Solanum lycopersicum: one gene and its partners. The protein of the gene in region 1 interacts with the protein of each later gene in a pairwise test. Links are inferred from orthologs where the notes say so. Each region holds a gene or a part of one and is shown in the gene's direction. Other genes may lie near its edges. The genes, in order: preprotein translocase subunit SCY1, chloroplastic; inner membrane protein PPF-1, chloroplastic; preprotein translocase subunit SECE1.

Region 1 (4,419 bases):
GTGGAAATGATCTCTCAATACGTTATTTTATGGTGTATACTTTTTCTCTTAAACGATAAATATCTTGCATTGCTGTTGAAGGAGGACTCTGGTGATTTTGGGTTGAAGTTGTGTACTTCTTTCCCTGTTGTTTTACTGCTTAGAACTGTGATGGCTGTTGTGAAAGGTGGTTTTCATGAATTCTATTGAATAATTGTCTCATCCCAACAAGCTGACAAGAATCGTGCCAGCAGTGGCAAAGGAGGAGAGAATCCTAAAAGAAGGAGAATGAAAACCCAACTGTTTATCATCAAGATTGCACCTTTATGTAATATGCATATACCATATAGCAAATTGACCTAGATGGTAGCCGTGATAAAGGAGAAAAGTTGTGGTAACTTGACATTCAGGATAAAACTAGTCAAGTTATGTTGAGTCCTCAAAATAGATAGATAAGCTTAAATGGAACACTGTGTACAATGAAGATCCATATAGCAGCCTGCAACTTGATTGGTATTGATGCGCAATTGCTGATGTTATAAAGATCAGTTCTAATTAGCAGATGTGTTTGCAAGGAACTAAAGTTAGACAGTCCACTAAAGTAAGTCCGGACGAAAACATACAACTAAAAGGGATATCTTTATCTCTTTAGGATTTGAGTCCTGACCTCCAATGTTTACACCTACTTCATTGACCAATAAACTACACCCTTAGATGCACATATCTCATGCTTAAAACTCGCCAATCAAACTAGTGCTTTTAAAATTAGGGAAAACGAGCAAATGCGAGAGCTAAAAAGCCATTTTCCATGTGCAACTTACCAATCTCTCACACAATGGGAAGATTTTTTCTATCAAAAGATAGTTAAAAAAGACACAAACAACACATGGAAGGTTAATCAGCACCCTGTCATCTGGAAATATGCATACAAGAATGCTCCCAAAAAACTATTTTTCTTCTATTAGTACTAAGTAGCCACAGAGCTAGTAAGCAAGCATCTAAAACATAATTCCCCTATGAACTCCTAAACTGCTAACAACTCTGCTGTTATATGGATTCTTTAAGATTCAAACAGCATTCCCTCTTCCAGTAAAGGTAGAGGTAAGGTGTGCATACATCCTATCCTCTTCCGACCCCACTTGTGCCATAACATTCCAACACAGAGTATACTATTGGTGTTAGCTCACATCATTAAATACATAGGAACTGATAAAATTAATTCACAAACACATAAAAAAACAGTCTTCAGCATAAAAACCAAACAAATAAAAAGGAAGAATTGTCCAAAGAAAACACCACAAATTGAAACTTCATCTCATATAAAAGAACCCCATTAAGAAAAATCTAACCTTTTCTTGAGTTTTCAAAGAGCTGATAGTAGACCCTTTAGCTATTCCTCTGCAAGAACAGATTTTTCTTACTGGAAACGAAAAATTCAATTGATTTAGCCAAGAATTTTGAAGAAAGTTGGATTTTTGGGTAATGGGGTTCGATAAATACATTGTCTTGTTGACACCTGAAGCACTGAAAGAAGTTCCAAGTTCCATTTTTTTTTTGAGCTGAACTTGGTAGGACTACAAGAGAAGTAGGGTTTTAGTTTTTTGGTGAAGTGTTCTTTTTTACTGTTATAATAAACTTGTTTTTTTTTCTTTTATTATTTATTTGTGGAAGGGAAATTTGGTTTAAGAACCTGCTCAAGGTCAAAATTAAATAATTTTTTATATATTTTACATATTTTTATAAATTTTAAAAAATTTCATATCAAATAAAAAAGGCGTGACAAATGAAACATGAAATATTTATTGGTGTTTGATGTTATAATAAAATAAAAATCAATAAAAGTTCACCAATTAGAAAATAGATTCTAAGAAAAAAATATGAATTTTCAAATGACATCACAATGGCTATAAATCACCAAACTTATTATGATTCAAATAAATAAAATGATGTTTGAATTAAGTATAGATTATGAATTCAAATCAAATAAAGATATTTATTTAAATGAAAAGGATAAAAAGACGAATTCATTATCCATTGAGTTTCAAATGATACGTTTTAAACCTTCAAAAATTTTCTATTTGATTATCAATAAGAGGAAAATATAACTTTCTCAAACTAAGGAAACCTAAAAGCTAATAATTATAAACTATAAGGACCCAAGTGATCATCAATGAACTTATATATAGAAAGAGCTAAAGTATATATTCTTTCTAGTTCAAGAATAATGTAATTCATAAATAAAATTTCAAGATAAAAATTGAAGAGTGTGTGTCTGTGTGAGAGGATAATGTTGATAACAGTCAGAGAAATTTCTTCTTCTTCTCTGTGCTTCAATTCCAAGCAGCTACACTCTTTAAAGGTTAATAGAGTCACCCCAATTTGTAAAGCCAGCAGCCTCAGTTTCCATAAAAAATCCACTGCCCCATCATGGAATCTTGGTCTTTTTGAATCCACAAACAGGTAATTTCTTGAAAATAAAATGTACCCTTTTGTTCAGTTTTTTTGCTCAATTTGATAAAAACTATATGCTGTGAATATAAAGACTTGAGCTTTTTGCTCTGTTTGTTGTAATTTTTTTTTTTTTGTTTAATCCTGGTTATGTTTGATCCAAGGTAGGTGCTGTCTTGAAAATAAAATGAACCCTTTTGGTTTCTTTGTTCAGATTTTACTCAATTTGATTAAAATATATGCTGTGAATGGAAAAGACTTGAACTTTCTTATTCTGCTTGTTGTAATGGTTTTTGGTACTTCCTTGAAAATAAAATGTACCATTTTGGTCTTCTTTATTTCAAAGATAGGTACTTTCTTGATAAAAATGTGTCTTTGCTCTCACTTGAGTTGGGTTTTGCTCAATTTGATAAAAATGTGCTGTGAAGAAGATAAAAACTTGAAGTTTATGCCTACGAGGGTGTGGCCTAGTGGTCGATGTAGTTGGTTGACCATGATAAGGTCTCAGGTTCAACACAGACAAAAACACTAGATGATTTCTTTCCATTGGTTCTTGTCTTTGTTGGACAAAGTTACCTTGTACCTATTGCTTATTGGCGGTGGGATCCCGTGGAATTAGTCGAGGTGCGCGCAAGCTAGCCCGGACACCACGGTTATAAAAAATAACACTTGAACTTTCTTACTGTTTGTTGTAATGGGTCATGTTTGAAACTTCTAAATTTTAATTCATTGATTCCTCAAAGAAGTCTTGAACATTCATATTGGTTTTCTTCACTCCACAAACAGATACTTTGTTGAAAATGGAATATACCCTTTTAGTCTCATTGTTCTTAGATGCCTTGGTTTTTGCTCAATTCGATGAAAATATGTTATGTAGATAAAGACTTGAACTTTCTCACCTATTTGTTGTAATGAGTCATGTTTAAAACTTATAACTTTTAATTCATTGATTCCTCAAACAAGCCTTGACCTTCCATGCTGTTTATTGTGATGATTCTTGTATAGAGCTTCTAATTTTGAGGAATTTAAGACATTTGTGTTGCCTTTTCTTTTTCGGAATTGTGTTTTTTACTTTCATGTTGAGTGTTTTCTCTGAAAAGAATTACTGAATCTGAATGCTTGTTTGTTTTGGAGAATTTTACTATGGTCCTATTGCTAAATTATAATCTGAAGGTTTTTTTTCCGGTTAAAAGCATGAGATGGATAATTTCTTTTTCTCCCGCGGAGGAAGTTCAATAAATCTTTGACTTATTGAGTATATTCTTTTTTTGAGAACAATGGAGGAAATGTAAGAGTAAGGGCCCTTATCTTGAAACTAGATAAAAGGACTTATGGAAAGGGAATCTAGAGAAAGTTCAGCCCTGGAGATTGGTGCGATTTATCGGCAGCGTAAAAAAGCTCTACGGTCCATGGGGGCTTTAAGCGCGATATGCAAATAGAGTGTGAGCTTCAATGAGAAAAGGCTCAAAGGGATATATGCTTAGTCCAAGACTAATTATAAGCATGAATAGCAAATATATGAAAGGAGATTGGAATTTTTTTACGATAAAGTGAAACATCAATTGTTTGGTCCCGCCTCTTTAAAAGAGGCTCATTGGCAAGGGAATGTGTGCCTTAGAGCTTTGTTGATGACACTAAAATGTACATTAATCGAGGTGAAGTGCTCAACACGTTTTGAGCCTCGCTTCAGGGCTTAAGTGTACCTTTGACAACATTGCATATGGGAAGATTTAAGTAGTGCTCAGAAGTTCTTTTTTTTTCTTCTTTTGAACTTTGGCCTTTTTTTAAAAGCTAGTCACTTAGAGTGTTGAGACACTTGCTCACTAGAAAGAAAACTCTTTAAGTTGAACTATAGAAGGATATGCTTATTCGGGACATCAAAGTTTTGTCATGGTTGGATATCAACTTTTATTTCTCTATTTTTGTATGTTGATCATACACATTCTTTTTATGATTTTGAGGTTGTGAAGTAGTTGGATTTGTGCATGAAAT
Region 2 (3,657 bases), on another chromosome or scaffold:
AATGAAAACGATTTATAGCCACATAAATGTCTTAAGGTTTGTCTTAGACCACAAATTTCAAAAGTCTTCCTTTCTTAAACTCTGTGCCAAGTCAAATACTACCACATAAGTGCAACTTTTGACTTAGTTTACACAATGGTTGGAAAACCATAGATGATCATGAACACCAAACTAGTTTCTCAATGCCAGAGAACACTGCTCTATGAACTTAAATTTGCTTTTTAATGTATTTGTTCTCCTGTTTTAATTCAAATGATAAACAATAGCTTTAAGTTAGTCAACCTCTTCTTTCGTATGTATCCTAGCGATAGTCCTTTGAGGCTATGCGTTGTAAAAGAAAAAAGGGTTTGGCTTGTAAGAAGTAAGGGCTCCCAACTACTTAGAAACATGCAGTATGTTTTCAGGTGCAGTATCCTATGAGCTGTCTGGCGAATAGCTGCATTGAGGTGGTTATAAACGGCATTAAAAAAATCAACTTTATGCCCAAGGATTTAAGTATTATGCGAACACTACTATTCTAAAACACATGATGGTTTGAAATATACACTCAATTACTATGCCTTTTTAGTTGTGACAGAGAGTTAGTAGAGCTAAGGTATGCTGTTAAATATGCATTGACTTGAAGCTTAACTGCATTATTAATGGACAGGTTGTACCTCCACGAGGTTAATGAGCCCACTGCAATAGAAAAACTACAAATTGTTTGACATGTGCTAATTGTAGCATATCAACTAACTGCAATTTTCAATGCCAGTTATTAAGAGACCATGCCATAAATAACTATTTAGACACCATGCCATAAAATAATGAGTGCTGTGAGCTTCTGTAAGGTTTGGATTTGTCCCATCTCAAGTTTGGCTTCCATGTAATGAATGTAGTAAGTCCTTGCATTTCCATTGTGGTTTATCTTTTTCTTTTTTGTGGCTACACTATTGCAGGATGTTTCCCAACTTTGGCTACTATACCTGTTTGGATTGGTCTTTATCAAGCTCTCTCCAATGTGGCAAATGAGGTACTGTAGAAGTTAGTATTATTGTGTGTTCTTACTTATTAATTCAAACAACTAATGAGTTTATTTACCTTTTTTTCATTCTGATAAAGGGATTGCTGACTGAAGGTTTTTTTTGGATCCCTTCTTTGGGAGGCCCGACAACTATAGCTGCTCGACAGAGTGGATCTGGAGTTTCTTGGCTATTCCCATTTGTGGTCAGTGTCATATCCTAATTACACCTTTATACCATGTCTGAAACTTTATTTTGAGTAATTTTCCTAATCACAAAGAGGATGGAACGATTCCCGCTTTCATCTCACCAAATTGGTTTTCCTATAAATTCTTGGGACCATAAGATAATTCTGCTTGTAATACTAAGTACAGTTTAGTATGATTGCGGACATGAAATCTGTTGACATTTTCAGGATGGGCATCCGCCTTTGGGTTGGCATGACACGGTGGCTTACCTCATTTTGCCTGTCCTGCTTATTGTTTCACAATATGTTTCAATGGAGATAATGAAACCTCCCCAAGTATGATTCTGAATTAAAATTCCAGCTTATTTCCTTCTGATCTCAATTTGTGGGTGCTTCTGTCGTGTTATATTGAAATCCTTGATATCTTTTCTTAGACAGATGATCCGTCTCAAAAGAACACACTTCTGGTTTTCAAGTTCCTTCCGCTCATGATTGGCTATTTCTCTTTGTCTGTTCCATCAGGGTTAACAATTTACTGGTGAGCGCTTACTTAAAGTAATAATGTAATAGTGCCTCTGATACAGAATTAGAGTATTGGTCTTAAACAAATATGTTCCGATGAATATACTGATGTGAATTACTGAATTATCATTTTTATTAATGAAAACTATATTACTCTGCAGTTCAGTAAACTGGAATTTGCTATTCACTTGTTTCTAGTGACATTATCACTGAATAAGATGAGGGGATAAAGAAGTTTTGTTGCTGCCTTTATACACAGAGATATCCTTATACTGTCTTAGCGCTTTCAAACTTTCTGTTCGAGAGACATGTCAAAATAATTGCTCCATATCTCTTCTATTTGTTTTTCTTTTAAGCTCTCTCTCTCATCATTGAGGCAACAAATGACAAATTATCATGCTTCTGCATTTTATCTCTTTAACTCAAAAGTAGATTTTTGTTCTGGATATTATAATCAATGAAGCAAGTTGACTTTCTTAACATGTGCCTTTTATGTTGAATTTCAAGGTTCACAAATAATGTGCTGACCACAGCACAGCAGGTATGGTTGCGCAAGTTAGGTGGTGCAAAGCCTGCTGTGAGTGGAGATGCCGGTGGTATCATCAGTGCTGGACGTGCGAAGAGAACTACCTCTCAACCTGAACAATCTGGAGAGAGGTGTGTATAATATTTCAAAATTGATCAATTTACAATGTCTACCTAGCTAACAAAAGTTTATGGAAATAGATTCAGGCAGCTAAAGGAAGATGAAAAGAAGAAAAAGTCAACCAAGGCACTCCCTACAGATAAGGTTGAACTTTCTGCTTCTATATCTGATTCCGAGGACGAACAAGATGATGACACCAAGCCCAAGGTAAATGTCAAATGTTGTTTTGCATATGATCTCTGCTGACAAGTTCACCCGAGACATGTTTGCATGATTAAATTTAGTTGTTAGTCATTTGAATATCGGATGGCATGTCAAGGATAATAAAAGATGTGGATGGCTTCCAGCCTAACAAGGCATAGTGATTTATTGCATTACACAAGTTCTCTGTCTGAAAGTACTATTCTTCCTTTTTTAACTTAAAATGCAAGTCAGACTTCCATGTAATAAAGATGTGGATTTGTTCACCTAGGGTTGGTCATAGTACCTAGATGCACAACTATGCTATTGTTTGACCCATTAGGCCAGCCTTAGAAGAGAACATTTGTGTGACAGTGAAAAGAAACACTACCCTTCAAAGAGGAACAAAAAAAATCTGTCTCTAGTGTTCTGAATAATTTGAAAATTAATTTTGTAAATACTGAAAATTGAAAATTCAATTTTGAATCAATAATCTTGAGCAAAAACACATAGTGATTGGTTATGCGATCAAGCTGAAAGTTTGAAGGGCTTCACTCAGTGACTAGAGATAAATGCATACATAATTCTAAGCTCATGGATACCTAAGTAGCTCTGGAACATTTCAGAATGTTAATTGATTCAGTTTGATGAGGAGGGAAAGAATAATTTCTTAGTACCTCCAAGATGAGTTGTTTTATTTGGTGCTGCATGGCAGACTTTTAAATTTTCAATTGGAAGACACTGTTCTGAATATGAGCTTATACACTTGATAAATATTGGTTGCAGGATGAAGAAGTACTGGAAGAGGCTTATGCTTCTAGCAGTAGTAAAGAAGTTCCAAATTACTCAGGGCCAAGGAAGAGTAAGAGATCAAAAAGGAAGCGTGCTGTATAAAGTGGTAAATCAATCCTTTAGCTTGTATATTCAAATCTGTATTTTAGTTAGTGTATAGTGGCCATTTTCATGCCGGTCATCTATTTAATGGCTATCTGCCAAATGACGAGAACCTGATAAGTATGCAAAAGTGAATTCACGAGCTTTCAAGTTTAAGCACCAGCTTAGCAAGCAAAAGCTAAATTTATCATATTGCTTTCATGTCTAACTTGTGGGCCAAAGCTTTC
Region 3 (2,683 bases), on another chromosome or scaffold:
TGAGTTGATTATGAATTCACTCATTTATTAGCTTAGCTTATTTTAGTCCAAGTTGTTTGATAATTATTTTGGAACGGTAGTGAAAGAGGTGGATTTTCCTTGAGCGAGAGAAATATGTGTGTATATATATTGATAATCGTGCTGTCTGAGTATGTGCACCTCAATTAATTTTACTGAATATATGTTACCTCTCATCAGCAACAAATATCAGGTTACTCTACTTATCAAAATTACGACAGATGAAAAGAAATCATCTCGTGTTTTGTCTCAGTCGAAATTTAAATTTAAGACCAGCTTATTTTCATCTACTTCGTTTACAACTAGATCATACTCTTTTTAACCGTACGTGAGAGTTATATATAGACTTAGATCCAACTTTGATGTAATATTGTGAATATCTCTCCAATATAATATATATTTTCTTTGACTATAACAATTAGCATTGAAAGAACCAAGCACTCGTGACAAAAAAATACTGTAGGCCAAGTCAATATATGATCTATTAGGTTTAGTTGAAGTCGTCTAGTCACAAGAAATTTTTCTCACAAATTAAAATGATATCCTTGAAGACTTCATCTGTGATTGGATTACACAAAAGAGATTTTTAAAATGGTATTTGATTCTCTAATATATATTTTTAGATTACTGAGCAAATAAAAGAAGTGTTTGAAAAAGGAAAATAAAATTAGAGGCAAATATCATTTGGGTATCTAGTTCACAAAACATGTATACAGTGTGTATATATAGTATAGTTTATACCAAATATACATAAATATATAGCTAGATTGTATTGATAATAAGGTATACTTCGACCATGCTGATAAACTAGATGGCTGAAGAGTTCCCCTACAATTTGTTGATATTATTAGTTTTCAAACTCAACCCAAGGCCCACATAGCTATAATCATTTGGAGAAGATTTGTCATTTGTGTACAAGCCCAAGTCTATAGATATATCCTTCAAAATGGAGGATGACAAGGGAAAAAAAGGAGCAAGCTAAAATATTTCGATGGGATGAATACGATTTGTTTATCTTTAATTAGATATCTAAAGTTTAAACTTTGAAATGAAAGCAAAAAAATTCTTACAAAATAATGCTTTTTCATCTTTTAATGTCTAACATATTTTTCTTTTCACTTGGCTAGTTGATGTACTTTCACTTAATTTATACATGTAAACTCAAAAAACTTGAACCTCTCAAGCTATAGAATAAGTCAGTCAATAAATAACATAAAGTTACTCAATTTATAATAAATTATAACAAATACTCACTATTGGATGTAGTTTTTTTATGTTAGAAATCAGAATACAAACTCTCTATCAAGAAAGATAAAAGATTTCGTCGATCAATTGATATATTAAGATTTTTCTCCCTCATTTTTTCTTATTCGCGATCAAAAACAGGTGTAATTTAAAATTTGCAAGAAAATAAAGTGAGACCCAAGATCCTACTTGTCCACTTTTAAAAAAGTGTCACAAATAGTGTAAGTTGTATAACACACAAAATAAAACATTTTCATTACTCATCCTTTACGAATTTTTTTCTCAACATTCACTAATTAGCAAAACTCAAAGCTCTGCAACAATGGCGCATACACTTTCCTTCTCACAATCCCCATTTCCACTTCCTTCTTCCTCTTCGAAATTCCTCCGCCACAGCACCACCACTTTCTCAATCAAACCCACACCCATTTTGCCCCATCTCAAAACACCCAAAATTTTCACTTCAGTTTCCAAAAAACCCAATTCCTTCACTACCCGAAGAGCCGCTCAAGAATCGAACTCAAACAACTCCTCATCGGAAACCGAGCAAAACCCACTACCGGAAACTGAAACAGAAGCCGGAGATCAAGGCGCCGGCGGGGATGAGGTGTTGTCGGATGTGGGGTCGGAGATAAAGAAGCTGATGAAGGATAGAGAACAGAAAGAGCCGGATTTTTGGAGTGGTGTGGCGGAGGAGATAAGGGAAATTGAATGGCCAGCTTTTGGTAAGGTGTTGAGTACTACTGGGGTTGTAATTGGGGTCATTGCTGGGTCCAGTGTCGTTTTGCTAACTGTTAATGCCGTTTTGGCTGAACTTTCCGATCGAGTTTTCGCCGGAAAAGGTGTACAAGATTTCTTTGGTTAATTATGAAGATAAGGGTTCTTTCAATTTATTTATTTTTCAGTGTTTTTTTCCTTTTTTTTTATAAATAATTTTAAACAATTTTTCCCTTTTGTTGTTACAAATTTGGATTGAGAATACTGGAATATATGAAAAGCTGAAAAAACTGGAGTTTTTAGGCCTATGATAAGGAATAATTAATTTCAAAATTAATTTTAAAATCCGCTTTCACATTTAATTGGGATAAAATTCGATGATTAGTTATCTTGAAATCATAGTATTTTTTTTTTTATCCACGTTAAGGGTGGAATAATAATTGCATGGTAATTAATTTTAAAATAATTAATTACGGTATAACTTATTCAAGCATGATAATTTTGTTAGCAAAACCATAATATAATGCTAACTCCATTTCCCAACTTAAATAAGTAATAACATGCCTCTTTAAAGTAAAATATTAGTAGTTAATCGAGCGTTTTATCTTATTTTCATGGGATAAATTTGATGGTAATTTGAGGCATGTGTTTGACTATTTCCATTCATTCATATCAATATAGTAGCGTTATTCTCATAGTTTCT

What was found.
Region 2: the proteins of preprotein translocase subunit SCY1, chloroplastic (region 1) and inner membrane protein PPF-1, chloroplastic interact in binary tests that used the Arabidopsis thaliana proteins (3 or more experiments, as listed by UniProt). The link is inferred for Solanum lycopersicum from reciprocal best matches to the Arabidopsis thaliana genes SCY1 and ALB3.
Region 3: the proteins of preprotein translocase subunit SCY1, chloroplastic (region 1) and preprotein translocase subunit SECE1 interact in binary tests that used the Arabidopsis thaliana proteins (3 or more experiments, as listed by UniProt). The link is inferred for Solanum lycopersicum from reciprocal best matches to the Arabidopsis thaliana genes SCY1 and SECE1.

The regions. Positions count from the first base shown.
Region 1 is NC_090806.1:2,907,409-2,911,827, reverse strand, and holds the start of preprotein translocase subunit SCY1, chloroplastic, read left to right. Parts: upstream 1-1,553; 5' UTR 1,554-2,266; coding exon 2,267-2,439; intron 2,440-4,419. Other genes in the region: uncharacterized protein, read right to left, coding at 1,329-1,526. UniProt on the Arabidopsis thaliana protein: Involved in protein export. Probably interacts with other proteins to allow the translocation of proteins across the chloroplast thylakoid membranes. Required for normal greening during embryogenesis. Central subunit of the protein translocation channel SecYE.
Region 2 is NC_090810.1:57,210,074-57,213,730, forward strand, and holds part of inner membrane protein PPF-1, chloroplastic, read left to right. Parts: intron 1-938; coding exon 939-1,012; intron 1,013-1,101; coding exon 1,102-1,206; intron 1,207-1,416; coding exon 1,417-1,524; intron 1,525-1,622; coding exon 1,623-1,726; intron 1,727-1,871; exon of another isoform or gene 1,872-2,217; coding exon 2,218-2,367; intron 2,368-2,436; coding exon 2,437-2,563; intron 2,564-3,322; coding exon 3,323-3,430; 3' UTR 3,431-3,434; exon of another isoform or gene 3,435-3,638; intron 3,639-3,657. UniProt on the Arabidopsis thaliana protein: Required for the insertion of some light harvesting chlorophyll-binding proteins (LHCP) into the chloroplast thylakoid membrane.
Region 3 is NC_090808.1:65,318,853-65,321,535, reverse strand, and holds preprotein translocase subunit SECE1, read left to right. Parts: upstream 1-1,343; 5' UTR 1,344-1,585; coding exon 1,586-2,128; 3' UTR 2,129-2,160; downstream 2,161-2,683. UniProt on the Arabidopsis thaliana protein: Involved in the import/insertion pathway in the thylakoids. The signal recognition particle is not involved in the insertion of SECE1 in the thylakoid membrane.